Linked DNA regions of Lytechinus pictus. The protein of the gene in region 1 binds, or shares a complex with, the protein of each later gene. Links are inferred from orthologs where the notes say so. Each region holds a gene or a part of one and is shown on either strand. Other genes may lie near its edges.

Region 1 (7,742 bases):
TCCTGGAAAATCCCCATTCCTTGCAATGTTAAAGCTTCTCCAATGTTGCAGGTTTAGGAAGTATGTCGAGAAAAATTGAAAATTTATTTGCCTGATGCAAATTGGTGCTTTTTGAACAGCACCCAATTGCGAAACATTTTTATGTGTTTGATATGTTAGTTATTTTTTTTCTTTGAATAGAGTGTAGTTTCATTAGTCGAGGGACATTTTTTTTTACAGTTTCAACTGGATCTCAATTGGCTGATGATAACTTTTCATCACAGTTTTTAATAGGAATGTTCAACTTGATGGAACAAAACATAATTTTTTCCAATCTGTTTCCATCTTTTCTTTTTTTATTTTTTTGCTTTCTACATTGAACTACAGGTTGATAATAAAAAAAAGTATATGATAATAATATTCCGCTCAAGTATTGCATGATAAAAAAAATAAATAGATGTTTACAAGATGAAGTGATACAATTTAGAAACAGGAATGCCCCAATTGGTTAATGTAAATTTGTTTTAATAGAACCTTTTCTTTATTCCTATATGTCCTTTCCTTCTTTTATTTGTAGATGGCCTTGAAGACGCATCGAAAGACGTGGCAACAGATGAGAATGTCCAGTGAACACCAGCAGTGGGGTGTCATTGCATAAATCTGTTCCAATTCCCTAACCTATGAACTATTGTTAGAATAATGACATGCCCCTGTATGCTTTTAAACTGGTAGGATCAGAGGAATTAATACCTGGTTCTTGGCTTCGCTTTTCCTATTCAAGGTGTGACAGTTGACGCAAATTGGGAACTGGGGAGTGTTTCATAAAGCAAGTACTCGGTGATTTTCACTGACTAAATTTTTCTGAGCCAATCAGATGAAAGGATTTCAGGAAAAAATAAAAAATTAGTCAGTGATGATAACTATTTGCTTCATGAAATGCTCACCTGGGGCCCGTAACACAAGGTTAGCAATGATCGTAGAACATTTTTCTACGATTGATTGCATTGACTACAATGTACAATCAATCGTGAAAATTAATCGCTAACCTTTGTGTTACGGGACCCTGGACTTGATACTTATTGCAGCATGAATTGTACCTGTACCACAAGTTTATATCCTTCATTGGGGACAAGAACAATAATGTGAAAATATGTATAGTATATATAATAGATTTATATTGTTCATCATTGTAGGCTAGGGGCCGAGGGTATTCTAAACATTGTCTTTTCTCAGAGATATGACAGAATCTGTATTCAGGTGGATGTCATAACTTTTGTCATTAAAACTGTCTTGAATTTTACATCTTCTCTTTATCACGCTAAAAAAATACACAGTTCATGAATGCGCATAATCCCAATATACAAGCAAAAGATATGACAACATTTATGACAAAGCCTAGTAGTCATTAATTTTGTGATTTCGTTTGGTACCATAATATCCCGATAACCTGCCGACTAAATATTTAGGTTGGATTGTTGTTTTAGTTCCACTCGTCATCCATGACTATTTTCAAAAATGTTTTTTCATGTTACAAGTAGTTGGGCCCTACATATTAATTCCTCCTTTTTTATGTTTTCCTCTTTTTAAAAAATCTCTCTTCTAATAATCCTTCACAGCTCCCTGTTTTTATTTGTAATTAAGCGTGTCAATATACGCGCAGTCACGCGATGCCAGCTATATATCAAGGATGTGCCACCGGGCCTTCCTGTTGGTTAGAAGGGCTCCCACTCGGAACTAACAGTGATTTTGATTGGTTTGCTTCCGAAAAGATGGGCGGGAATATGGGAGAAAAATGACAGAGGAAGGACAATGTTCAGAATACCGATTTGTGACAATCATAGCGGTGTCACATCTCAGGAGAGAAATTACAAAATTTATGACATGGTTCCAGAATACCACCCCAGATCTAGAACTGCAAAAACATGTACATGTGTATAAAGAGTTTCCATTGTTTTTTATACAATGATCTGGATTCATAAACAGTGGATTTTGATATGTGCATGAATTCCCTCAGTATCTATCAGTGACTATGAAAACAGAAACAATAATACTTTTCTGTGCATTACAGCAAGGCAACCAGGTTGTCATTCCAGTATTAAAGATGGAAGGGAAACATCTTCAATTTCCAATAGCTTTCATTATCTCGATTGATCGAGCTGTACTGACCAACTTTGGCAAAAGGAAGCAAGTGACACATCAGTCAAATTTGAGTTATTGTTGTTTCTGAAACACCCTTTGTATGTTGCACGTTCAGGCAAAATATGGGGAAGAAATTATCGTTCTATGGAAAAATATTGAAGAAAACATGCTGTTAAATTGCATTGACGCCTATGTAAATGACTAATACACATTGCTCATTTACACCAAATGATACTTTTGTAACTTGCTTAATTTTGCCAAAGTACGGCAGCATAGCCATGATGTTTTCCCTCTCTGTAAACTTTATTCATTGTATATTCATTTGAAGTAGAGAGCAGAAATTCACTGTGATGAAAACAAATGTAGAAAGAAGCACAGAAGTATGAAATGTTTTTGTTATTCAATGAAAGACACACGTAAGGTTTATATTGTGTATTATGAATGTGATGATCAGCAATGAAAAGAAGCTTGCAGCACTCCTGTGTGAAAGGTGCAGGTCTGACTTTCATGAAAATGCCTTTAGCATTCATCTGAAAGAGAAAAGTACTACTCCATATTATTGAAATAACGACCACGTCTGTGATGTTCCTAACATATAATAAATGATGGTGAACCAGCAATATAACAATAATTCAGAAATAATAAAATGCATATGCATTTATGATGCTCATAATATCTGCTAATTGCATTTTAATTCTCTTATTTTTTTCATTCATGATACAAGTACATCCCTGCTATACATGTATTGCAACATATTTTCGATGATTGTAGATTCTGATGCAACTTCAATTTACATTTTATGAAAATATTTATATTTTGGGGAAAGTAAGCATTTGGAATTAGACTTGTCCATTACTTCGTGCATCGACTCACATGTTGAAAGAGTCATAAAATACTCCGTCCAAAATCAATCTTCTGAAAGGTCAAGTCCTCCTCAACTAGAAATTGATTTTAAAAAAAGGAAAAAAAAAACAAGCAAGTATAATGCTGGAAATTTCATCAGAATTTTTTATGAAGAATTGGGTGTCGAAATAAGGATATAACCTTTCAAAGTTTCGCTTATTTTCTCAAAGTAGTTGATGTGCACAACACGTGTGAAATTTTGAACATTATGCTTGTTTTTATCCTTCTCTACTACAATTTTTAGTGTTTTTGTTTACTTCTTGGGTTGGACTTGACTTTTAAAGAGAAAGATCACCTTGATTAGATCATCATTTCCAACATATTGTGAGTAAATGTTTATTTTGAAGAAGAAAAATTGTTGCAAAACCAGTATTTATATATATTATATATAAAATAATGTTCTATGAATTATTGATCATTTGTGGCATTTTGATAATGTGCCTACACTACAGATGAGAACATGTGTATATAAATTATAAATGAAAATATGCATTACCTCCTTTGTTTATACTATTCAATGTATGTTTCGCCTTATTTTAGATTTAAATTTCAAGTTATTTCCACTCATAGAGATAACATAAAACATAGATAAAAAGCAACTAAGTATTATTTAGATATTTCAGATTTAAAAATCTTTATATTATTGTTTCTTACTCGATATACTGTTTACTGAAAATAAAATATTTGTTAACTGACAAGAGAAACTGCTTATTTCTATTTCAGAGACTACCCTCCCCCACCCCCCCCCCAAAAAAAAAAAAAAAAAACAAGGAACAAGATAAAATGAGAATGAAAAAAAATGAATGTTTGAAGTTGACAAACTAAATTGAATGAGATGCTGTATATTCGATCAGTAGCAGGGACAGTGCTACAAGGAGTGTCTGCCCCTGTGACTTCTAAAAGTAATGGGGAAAAGAAAAAGAAAGGGAGAAAGCCCGGGAGAAAGACAAGAGCATGGAAGAGAGATGACATGTGTCATGTGACTAGTCAAATATTCTCCTTTGGAAAAGAATATAAAGTGTAAACGAGTGAGAGTAATTCAAATAGAAAGGGAAGGGACAGAGGGAGAGAGAGAGTTGGGGAGAGAGAAAGATGGGGATGCATGGATTCTCTCTTTTGCAGTGCCTTCTCCCCCACCTACCCTTTTCCCTTCGGTCTCTGTCTCTTAATTTCTTGTTTCCATGTCCCTTCTTTATTTCTTTAATTCAGATAATTATATACATATTTTTCTGAAAGTTTTTTCAATTCTTTATTTGGCTTCGTTACCAGCGGCACTGTCCCATCAAATGCAATCCTCTCCCTATTAAGTGGGGGCTTTGTCTTGGATCAGGTAAAACAAATTATATTCTGATTCTTTGAGATAAAAATCCGTTCGAAGAATGAATATAAGTAAAACCTTAAGCCAATATCCACCCTTGCACCCCTTCCCCCCCTCTCGCCAAATATATTTACAAACACTATACTATACATCAATAAAAAAGAACATAACACAAAGGTTTCAATCTTATCCCATTTTTAAAGGGCAGTACTCCCCCTCCCTTGATCAAGTGTTAACTCCTAGCTCCTAGATCATTACTTTATTGAAGGAAATGGAAAAAATAAATGCAATAAAGATAACATCATTAGATTCTAAATAGCTAAATCTATCAAAATTTAAATGTTAAGTTTCCGTTCCTGTTTCATAACAGGAGTTTTAAATCGTGATCAGGCTGTCAGCGGTAATTCACTTCCAAGTAAATGCCACCGGGAAATGCCAGTGAAATGATTTTTCTTGGGGCAATTTTAACTTGGCTAAATTGACGCTGGCGCGGCGGGCGCGACATCTGCATGCATGACTTGGTTTGCTGCCATCTGCGTCAGCCACAGTCCATTGTTTTGGTACACGCGCGTCGATTGAACGTCCAATTTTTATCGTCGGATGCTGATCGCAATCCGACATCATCATGAAGCTAGTCAGGTAATTATCAATTTTTATTCAATAATTATTAATTGATGGATCTATTTGACCTGCATCATGAAAGTCTTAATCTTACTTGTATGGTTTATGGTTTATTTTCACATTACATGTCGGTTTATATGACACCCATGAAAATGAACGAGTGGGACTGAAGTAGTGAAGATAGGTTGGATGGAAGCCCTTGCATTTTAGCAAGCTAAATACCGGGGCTCGCCCTTGTCAGTAGTGATGAATATTTGTACAATATTGGTATAATTTGGAATAAATGTAGATCTACTGATAGATACCAGGATGTTTCATGAAGTGTCATCGAACGTTATTGTCGATATTTTACAATGTTTTATTAATAATAATATTTTAATATGATTAATATCGACTTGTCACAATTGTGTCACGACAAAACGGCTGCACCGTCTGTAGACTAGTGTTTCCGAATATGGTTTATCGCTTATCAGAACCGCAATGCATAATGGGATCGGAAAGGGGGCTGGAGAGCAACGGCCCCCTTTGCGATCCCATAATAATGCATTGCGATTCTGATCAGTAGAGGCGCACGGCCAATATTGGAGACTGTCTCCAATGTGGGAGATTATCTCCAATATCAGAGACTTTTGTAAAGAATTTGGGTATCCAATTTCAGAGACAGTCTCCAGTTTTGGAGACCAATTTCCTTTGTTTACATTTGCTGCAAAAGGATTACCTTGGCGGCAAATAAAAATGTGATAAGCAGATTCCTCATGAGAAATTACCCCTTTTCACCGTCTACTTTAAAAATTCACCATCTACTTTTGTTTTGATAAGGATTTTTGTTGTCAATCACACACAAAACAAATGGGCTTCTGACCTCAGTGAGACAAAATTTTGGGTGGAAAAAATCATGCTTTTGTTGGTGTTGTTTCTTTTGTCCTTTTGCAAAGCAAGTCTCCAATGTGGGAGATTGTCTCCCCTATTGGAGAGAGTCTCCCATATTGGCCGTGCGCCTCTACTGCTGATCATTAATGATACTGATAATAAATTAATACAGTAATACTAATAGTTAGACTTAGAGGTGCACGTAGCCAGGCGGCTTCTTTTTTGAGAGTAAAAATCATTTACTAACGTAAGGTCAACGTTCTCGCCAGGTTCATTCTGACGCTTGGCGGCGCGAAGCGATGATACGCAAGCCGCGCAGCTACTATTACTACTACACGGGGGGGGAGGGTCGCGGGAGGGGGGTGTCCCCCCTCCCGCGCGGAGCGCGGTAGCTATCGAAAATATCAATATCGACGAGCTTAGATTGCTGCTAAATGCACCACATTTGATGTCTATTTAATGCTTCTCCGGCCACACAGCCGTAACGGTTGCGCGAATTGCGATCGATTGAAGCAGAAAGGCAAGTACTGATGAAAAAGGTCAAAAGAAAAGATTTAAATTCAATCTCATTTTATACTTACAGTTTATAGATTTATTCACATCAATGACATCGATAACGTACTCCATACTTTCCAATGTCTAGATCGCTACGTCCTTAGAAAGTGCGATTCATTTTGTGAATGCGTGTCAATGACCGACTACATCTACGGACCGCATGCGCGCCGCGCCACGCCCTTACTCAATCCAAAGATTGTTCCGACTTTGTTTGGAAGCCTCGGAAGAAAACTTCCGAGGCTTCCAAATAATGGGCATCGGTATTCATGAGACGATATAATTTGCATGTTTGTTTTGTTTTCAGATACTCACTGAAACTATGACTCTCATAATTAAGACTTCTGCTGATGATGTTTATACTAATAATATCCAATCAAGATTCGTTTATCACTGTCAATTATTGCTATGTTCATTTGTATTGTTCTATACTCGCCTATAAAATAATGAATGTGTCCATCACGAGCGGGAGAAATATTTTTAGTCATTCATCATACTTTAATATTACGATTTTGTTCTTATTATAATTAATTGCGATTTAAAATGTTTTAAAAGTAAAGCTTAATTGACAGGAAAGTAGATTTATACTCACTGTCAATTATTCCTATATGTTCATTTGTATTGTTCTATACTCGCCTATAAAATAATGAATGTGTCCATCACGAGCGGGAGAAATATTTTTAGTCATTCATCATACTTTAATATTACGATTTTGTTCTTATTATAATTAATTGTGATTTAAAATGTTTTGAAAGTAAAGCTTAATTGACAGGAAAGCAGATTTGTATTTTTAAATAATGCACTATGTAGGCCTACAAATACAGCGTGTGTGAAAGAGAGGAAGAGGGGGGGGGAGGGTTGTAGCTAGGATGGTCGAAGGGGGAGCGCGAAAGGGGAGGGGTCGTGGCGTGGACAATGACAAGGGGATGTTGAGATCGTGCGTGTGTGTGGGATTGGTGAAGAAGTCAATATTCGAAGCGAATGCATATTTATAGACATGTCTATACTACTACTGATGATGACGGCTGAATAATCTTTCTTTACATGTATATTTTGGCGATTTTAAATTTTTTAAATATTTTCTTTCATCATGAGTGGGAAGATCGAGGTACGTGATTCAATAAATTGCATCAGTTATGTTACAGAAATTCACGAACAGATTATTAAAATTGAAAAAAAAAAAGAGTCAGAAAGATCTTTTTATAGCCCCCATCCAGCGTAAACAACATGAAGAATATTTGAGGTCACGAAACCAGCTGATTCGCATTCATACAACAGGTTAACAGGTCACGCACATGGTACACAGTCATTCCAAGGGCGGGAATTCGGGGAAACCCGTTTTCAAGCACAATGATTGGCT
Region 2 (7,531 bases), on another chromosome or scaffold:
GTTTGGTGGGCATTATGATCTATTATTTGGAATTAGTACTCCATATTCAGTGTCAATACGCGTTTTTTGGGGTCACGCATGTGTACAGCAGTTGACTGCCCCCCTGGGCAAACATATAACACTTAAAATTTCATCAAATCGGATGTAAAATAAGTAAGTTATGACATTCAAAACTTTCGCTTGGCACAAAATAGTTATATGTAAATGAGGCCCGGAAATGAGGGGACTGATGACATCACGGTCCACTCACTTTAATTATTTTTTTTGTATTTCAATAGGGCCTATATGAAATGTATAATATTATTCTCATCATCCGTTGCGAAACAATGTTTAATCCTCTCGTTAACATTAATTGTGGTTCAGTCAAGTTGGTCCTTATTGTCAAATCTGTAAAAAAAAATTGATTGAAATATTGTACAATAAACAATATAAAAATAAAAGAAATGGTGAGCGAGGGCAGTGGCGTACCGTGGGTCACGACATTGGGGGGGGGGGCACCAGCAAACAAAATGGCTAGGTATACTGACCTAGGACATTTTAAGGACAGTGCCATTAAATGGATATGTATGTCACTGATCAAATAATGCGAGCGCGAAGCGCGAGCTGAAATTTTTTGATATTCAGACCTAATAAGGGACATAAAAAAACAAATTTTTGTAATCATGATACGTACCTGTCTCGCTAAACAAACAATGCGAGCGCGAAGCATGGGCCGAAATTTTTGTATATATTGACACCAAACAGGGATATTCTAAGGATTATCTTTTTAAGGAATCCATTAAGAGGATATATATCTCACCATAGTCATCTATTGCGAGTGCCAATCGCCTGCTGATTTGTTAGAATTACATTTAAACACACGAAGCACTTTTTGTAGTCATTGTAATCATGATTATCATACGCATCCCACTTATCAAATATTGCGAGCGCGAAGACCGAACTGAATATTTAGGAAATGCAGACCTGAGGAGGTGCATTCTAAAGCCCCAGTCACATATAGACCCCGGACCACCCCGGACCATCCCGGATCTGATCCGGGGTGGTCCGGGGAGAGATCCGTGTTGGCGCCTTGGGCATCCTTGGAGGTCCGGGGTGGTCCGTGTTGGTCCTTGAACGTCCGGGAGGCCAACACGGCAGTTTTTGACTGTCAAAAACATCCGGCGTCATCCGTGGACTGCCGGGTTGGCAAAGCCATCCGGGATGGTCCGTGTAGCTGCCGTGTAGGTCCGTGTGGCTGCCGTGTAGGTCCGTGTAGCTGCCGTGTAAGTCCGTGTGGCTGCCTGGAGTATCCTTGGCAGTCCGTGTTCTTTTTTCCCATCAAATATTTACAACGCTATTTACTTTATGAACTTCAGTAGTTGTTAAACAGTTGACACAAACATGCTCAATTTATTTATGATTAAATGGATGATTAAATGATTCAGGATATTTTCTTACGCTTTGGATATTGGCCCCAACCTAATATTTGTAAACTTAGTGCATGTATGAATATTTTTTTTTCTCTCTTTTTTTTCTAATATTTACCCCAACTTTGTCTGTTATTATTATTTCACATTTCATTTTTTTAAAATATGTTATATGTATATAATTTATGTAATGTACCTGTTACATCGAAATTGTACATTAAGTGTTATACTACTGCCCTGCATCGACAGTTATGCGTCATGACCTGGGCCTATCTTAATTTTTATTATGTTTTCTATTGACTTTGTAAATTTCTTTCCTTTATTGTGATTTCAATAAAGTGATATCAAATCAAATCGAAATTAAATTTGTCGTTCAAGATTTAAAGTACTTAACAACTACTTTTAAAACAGTAAACTGTGTTGTATAAAAAAAACAGCGTTTTTACTGGTTACGGAAGTTTTGAGTTTTGATATATTTTTAAAAAACAACATAATATAATGTTGCGACAAGGATGAGAAAAAAATAAATAAATAGATAAATAAATAAATAAAAAATTAAATAAATAAATATCAGCTCATTATTATGAACAGATTTTCATTTGCCGTGCTGGTCAATATAGCTGCCGTGTTTGTCCTTGAGCTGACGTGTTGGTCCGTGTAGCTGACGTGTTGGTCCGTGTAGCTGACGTGATGGTCCGTGTTGCTGACGCGTTGGTCCGTGTTGGTCCTTGTAGCTGACGTGTTGGTCCGTGTTGCTGACGTGTTGGTCCGTGTAGCTGACGTGATGGTCCGTGTTGCTGACGTGTTGGTCCGTGTTGCTGACGTGTTGGTCCGTGTAGCTGACGTGTAGGTCCGTGTTGCTGACGTGTCGGTCCGTGTTGACGACGTGCTCTGCCGGCATGGTCCGTGTAGATCCGTGTGAAGCTGCCGTGTTGATGCCGTGTTTACAGTCATCCGGGGCAAAGCTATCCCGGACCTCCCCGGATCATGCCGGCATTGCCGTGTTGATCCGTGTCTATATGTGACTGGGGCTTAAGGCTTGTTTGTAGGAATTTACTTATACCATACGTATTTCACTAACCGAATGATGCGAGCGCGAAGCCCGAGCTGAAACTTTTGATATTCAGATAAGGGACCTTTTAAGACCTTAAAATGGGGCAATTAATTTAAAAGGATGGTCCAGGCTGGAGATATTTATAACTCATATAATAGAGTAAATTCACAAAATGCTGAAAATTTGATCAAAATTTGATTACAAATAACAAAGTTGTTGAATTTCAAAGATTCGCAATATTCTGGTGAAGCAGTTCTAGGCATGCAATGCATGTCTTCATGAATATTCATTAGGTGGGTTGATGATGTCATATCCCCACTTGTTCTTTTGTATTTTATTATGTAAAATCAAGTTTATTAAAAAAAATTCTACCAAGAGCTAAAACAAGTGGATTGACAACTGATTAAGTGCATTAGTTTTTTATTGGTGCAGCTTCCTTCATCATAATGGAGACACATTTACACATCATCACATGTATGAAATTTCTTTTAAAAATTATGATTTCATGTAATAACATAAGAAAAGGGAAAGTGGGGATATGACATCATCATGACAATGTGCATATAATTGTTTTCACAATATATTGATAAACTTTAAAATTTAATAACTTTATTATTTGTTATCCGATTTTTATGAATTTTTTTTTTCCTTTGTGAATTTTACTCTATTTATTTAGATATAAATATTTTTAGCCCGGACTATCCCTTTAAGTAAGTAGTCATGAAAAAGAAATATATGTCACTACATAAAACAATAATAACTCGAAGTGCGAGGAAATAATATATGCGGTGTATATTGACTTGAAAAACTTGAACAGGATCATATATCTCGTTAAACAGACAATGCGAGCACCCGGAACAAGGAAGACATAGGCCCTGAGCGAATTATGTTTCATAAAGTTATAAAAAAATGTTTCTTATGTAATATAACATAACGTAGTTATTATTATAAATATAATGAACAATAATTTATTCTTTCCCGATACGTTTTTCTTCCTTTCTCCCTCTTTTTCTCCTTTTCCCCGTTTTTTTTTGCCAGCCGATTGGGGGGAGGGGGGCACGTGCCCCCATGCCCCCCCCCCCCCGTAGTTACGCCACTGAGCGAGGGACATCATAAAATCTTTTATTTGAATAGGAAATGTGCAAGAACTGTTTTCTGAAAAATAGGTGAATCTTCAACATGTCACAACTGTCTTATTTTATAACGGGTTCGATGAAATTTTCAGCGTTATGCTTTTTAATATTTTGTTTATTTATTCAAATCAATATTTTTCTTTGGTGGCGAACTTGACCTTTATTAAAAGTCCGTTTGAACATTGGCAAGGGATAATCTTGAGCCTATACTGACGCACACAAACAACCCAGCACAATGCGTTCTGAATCTGTGGTACGACTATTATGCTGTTCTTTACTCATCTTCCGCACATTGTACAAAATAATTAATTCGAAAATATACCTGGCATCAAAATATTAAATTGAACAGAGCAGGGGCGGATCCAGGATTTTCCAAAGAGGGGCACATTTTCCCGAGGAAAAATTTGACAAGCAAAAAAAAAAAAAAGGATTTCAACCAAAATTCAAGGATATTTCGTCCACGAAAATTTTTGACAAGCAAGAAAAAAAAATTAATTTTTTTTTTCAACCATATAGAACATTTCGTCCACGGTCTTCACTTTTAAGGGGGGTGGGGCACACTTGTGTTTTAATAGCATCTTTAAATTACAAATTTTAATTGTGCCTCTCGAAAGGGGGGGGGCGCACGGGTCGGCTGTGCCCCCCCCCCGGATCCGCCAGAGGAACAGAGACCCTGAGAGAGAGAGAAAGAGAGATAGGCCTAATTGACAACCATCTTCTTCTTATGTTGGTTTGAGTGGCGAGTGTGTGTGTGTATTTGAGTTTTGTCAGACGTGTATCAATCAGATATGATTATTTACGTCTGGGACCGACCTTTAACGTCACTATCCGAAAGACGTGACCAGGGCTCGAACCTCGAACCTCTGCATCAATTTGTAACTTCCCCACAGCTTGGATTACAGGCGCACGCCACAACGCCTAGTGGTTGATTGCCGATACCATACAACGAAAGAAAAAAAAATAGTCTTTTGACTTCACAAATTCGGATCGTTTCTGCTTCGCCTTTTCGGAACCCAAACTGAATCTGATTTAAATCTTCAGAAATCTTTGCGATCTTCTCACCAAATCATGAGTAAAGCACATCCACCAGAACTCAAGAAGTATGTTTATATAATTTCTCGTTTTCAAGGAGTATATTGAAGGATAGCCCATTGTGTTGACTGTTAAATCTTTGCGCTAGGATAGCTGCTTCAGAATTAGCGTTTGGCGAATTTATGTGCGCTTGCCTTGATGATTATTTAGATTGGAAATATTTTGTAATATAATTGCATGGAATAATCCTTATAAATAGTGGTAGAGTCTAGATGCTACTCCGAAATGTGTTCCCATTCGTTTTTTGTGTTATGAATGTGATGTTTTCTTCCTTTTTCACACTACGCGTCTTGATCATGTGGGGCATCATTTGCATTTTTGATGGAGTTGACGGAAAGTCCCATTCATTTATTTTGATGTGGTGCGATGGGTAACGCGCGTGCAGTAGGAGGGGGTCCATTGACATTGTGATTGTCCGGACATTGGCGCTAATTGCAGTTTCGCAGCTTTCTCCACACAAGTTACTAGAAATCCCAGAAATTTGACATGTGGCTGTGAAGATGTGCTAGCACCAATGCAATGGAGCATGCCAGTCAATCATCAATGACAATGTAAACATGTTGATTCAAATTAAAAACAAGTCAAGTCAGAAAACTTGGATAAATGGCAAGTCATTATGCATTTATGGATGGTCGGGACTCAGGGTGACCAGATTTCACAAAATGATATATGGGACAATCGACAGCATGCTGCACGAGCGGATCAACAAAGAAGGCTACACATTGTTAGACTTGTGAAAAAATATTTAGAATTGGAAGGGAGGGTGAACAAAAGAATGAAGGAGAGAAAGTAAAGACGAACGAAAAGAGATGAATTCAGAAGAAAGAAAGAAAACAATGAAGGGAAATGAAAAAAATAAAAAGAAAGTTAGAATAAAAGAGAAAAAAGGTTTCCGTCATTCTTTGAAACGAATATAGAAAGAAAAAAAAAGGAAGGGAAGATGAATAAATGTGTGAAAGACAAAATAAAGGAGAGAAAGGAAAAAAGAAAGTAAGATAAAAGGAGGAGGAAAGAATGAAGAAAAACAGGAATGGAGGGAAAGAAAGAATGAGGGAAAAGAATTAGAAGGAAAGGAAAAAAATAAAATAAAGAATGAAAGAGAGGGAGGAGAGAATGAAAATAATAATGCAGGCCTCTACAAAAAAAAATTCATCACTTGCCCTGTCGGGCAAGTGATAAAAAAATTTGCTTGCTCGATAGAAAAAACTGCTTGCCCGATTTTTTTTCAAAAATTCTTTTGCTCTTAATTATTCTTTTCTGTCCTGGCTGAACTTGATTTACTGGCGCTGCCCTTGGCATTTCTTTTTCTTGTTCAAGTTGTTCTGGCCTTCATTCTTGGAAAGAAAGAAGAAAACAGGAAGGAAGGAAGAAAGGGAAAAAGTATAAGGGAAAAGAATAAGGACAAAATGAAATAAATAATGAAAGAAAGAAAGGAGGAAAGAGAGGGAGGAAAGAATGAAGGGAGGCCAGAATGAAAAAAAAGAAAATAACGGAAGGAGAGATAGAACGAAAATAAAAACGAGTGGAAGGGAGAAGAAATGAAGGAAATAAAAAAAGGAAATGCAATAAAGAAGGCAAGTAAGAGAAAGAAGGAAAGAAAGAAAATGAACAGAGAGAGAGAGGGAGAAAGGATCAGGAAATAAAAATAGATATGTAACAAAAAAGGGCAAGAAGGATAGAAAAGAAAGAAAGAGGAAAAAGTTCAAACTTCAAGCAATTAAAAACAATCCAATCATATAACAAAAATCCTAATGATATTTGGTGTTTCTTTTATATATAAAAAAAAAAAAAAAAACTAAAATGTTTTAGAAATGAATAAAATACGGGACGTCTGGTCCTGGCCGAGTCAGTCCGAAGCTTGCATGCATTCAGCGCGATCTAGCTCGAGACTCGGCTGGCTCGATCGCGATCGCTCGTGTACGTCCGTACATGCGCTCAGAGGGCGAGAGAGGGGTTTCCCCAGCTAGCTCCTTCGTCGATTAGTAGCGCATGCGCACATTGTAGTTTAGAAAGTAAGATGGCAGCCTCCATCGAACGGGACGCGTACCGCTGGCGATAAATTGTCGCCTTTTGTTGGTAAATTGGCGCTGATTTGACATGTTTCCACTGTTTTTTTACTGGTATGACATTGTATGAGAGATAATTGGCCGATAATTGCAATTTATCAAAAAATTATTAAACTTTACTGTCAATTTATCTTGTTCATTTTCAAAACAACCACTTGCCCGATCGGGCAATTGACTTTGAGAAATGCTTGCCCGCACGTCATTTTCACTTGCCCCGGGCAAGCGGGTTTGTCGCGCCCTGATAATGGAAGGAGAGAAAGAACAAAAAGAAAAGGGAGAAGGAAGCAAAGAAAAGTTTAAGGAAAGGAAGAATGAAGGAAATAAAAAAATAAATTTTGAAAAAGAAGGAAAGTAAGAGAAAGTGGGAAATAAAGAAAAATGAACACAGAGCTAGAGAAAGGATCAGAGAAGAAAGATAGGAAATAAAGATAGATGGAGCAGAAAAAGGGCAAGCAGGAAGGATAGAAGAATGAAGAAAGAAAGATATAAAAGAAAGAGGAAAAGTTCAAACTTCAAGCAAACAAAAAAATCCAATTGTCTAACAAAAATCATAATGATATTTGGTGTTTTTTAAATATATTTTTAAAAGCTTAAAAAAATAAAATGTAATAGAAATGAATAAAATTTCAAAGTGAAACATTGTCAAACTTAAAAATATACATCATACACAGGCATCTCTCATCCCATTACAAGTTGCACCGATCACAACAAGACTCAAAACCAAAGCTGAAACAACTAGATCTAGTTATGAAAACTCAATAACTTGTTCCTCCAATTACA

Evidence for each region.
Region 2: small nuclear ribonucleoprotein Sm D1-like (region 1) and small nuclear ribonucleoprotein G-like share a complex: the UniProt entries of both Homo sapiens proteins name them as parts of the SMN-Sm complex. The link is inferred for Lytechinus pictus from reciprocal best matches to the Homo sapiens genes SNRPD1 and SNRPG.

Annotation. Positions count from the first base shown.
Region 1 is NC_087246.1:62,605,854-62,613,595, forward strand, and holds the start of small nuclear ribonucleoprotein Sm D1-like, read left to right. Parts: upstream 1-4,721; 5' UTR 4,722-4,964; coding exon 4,965-4,978; intron 4,979-7,742. Other genes in the region: coiled-coil domain-containing protein 113-like, read left to right, coding at 557-637. UniProt on the Homo sapiens protein: Plays a role in pre-mRNA splicing as a core component of the spliceosomal U1, U2, U4 and U5 small nuclear ribonucleoproteins (snRNPs), the building blocks of the spliceosome.
Region 2 is NC_087256.1:12,709,303-12,716,833, forward strand, and holds the start of small nuclear ribonucleoprotein G-like, read left to right. Parts: upstream 1-4,524; 5' UTR 4,525-4,661; coding exon 4,662-4,693; intron 4,694-7,531. UniProt on the Homo sapiens protein: Plays a role in pre-mRNA splicing as a core component of the spliceosomal U1, U2, U4 and U5 small nuclear ribonucleoproteins (snRNPs), the building blocks of the spliceosome.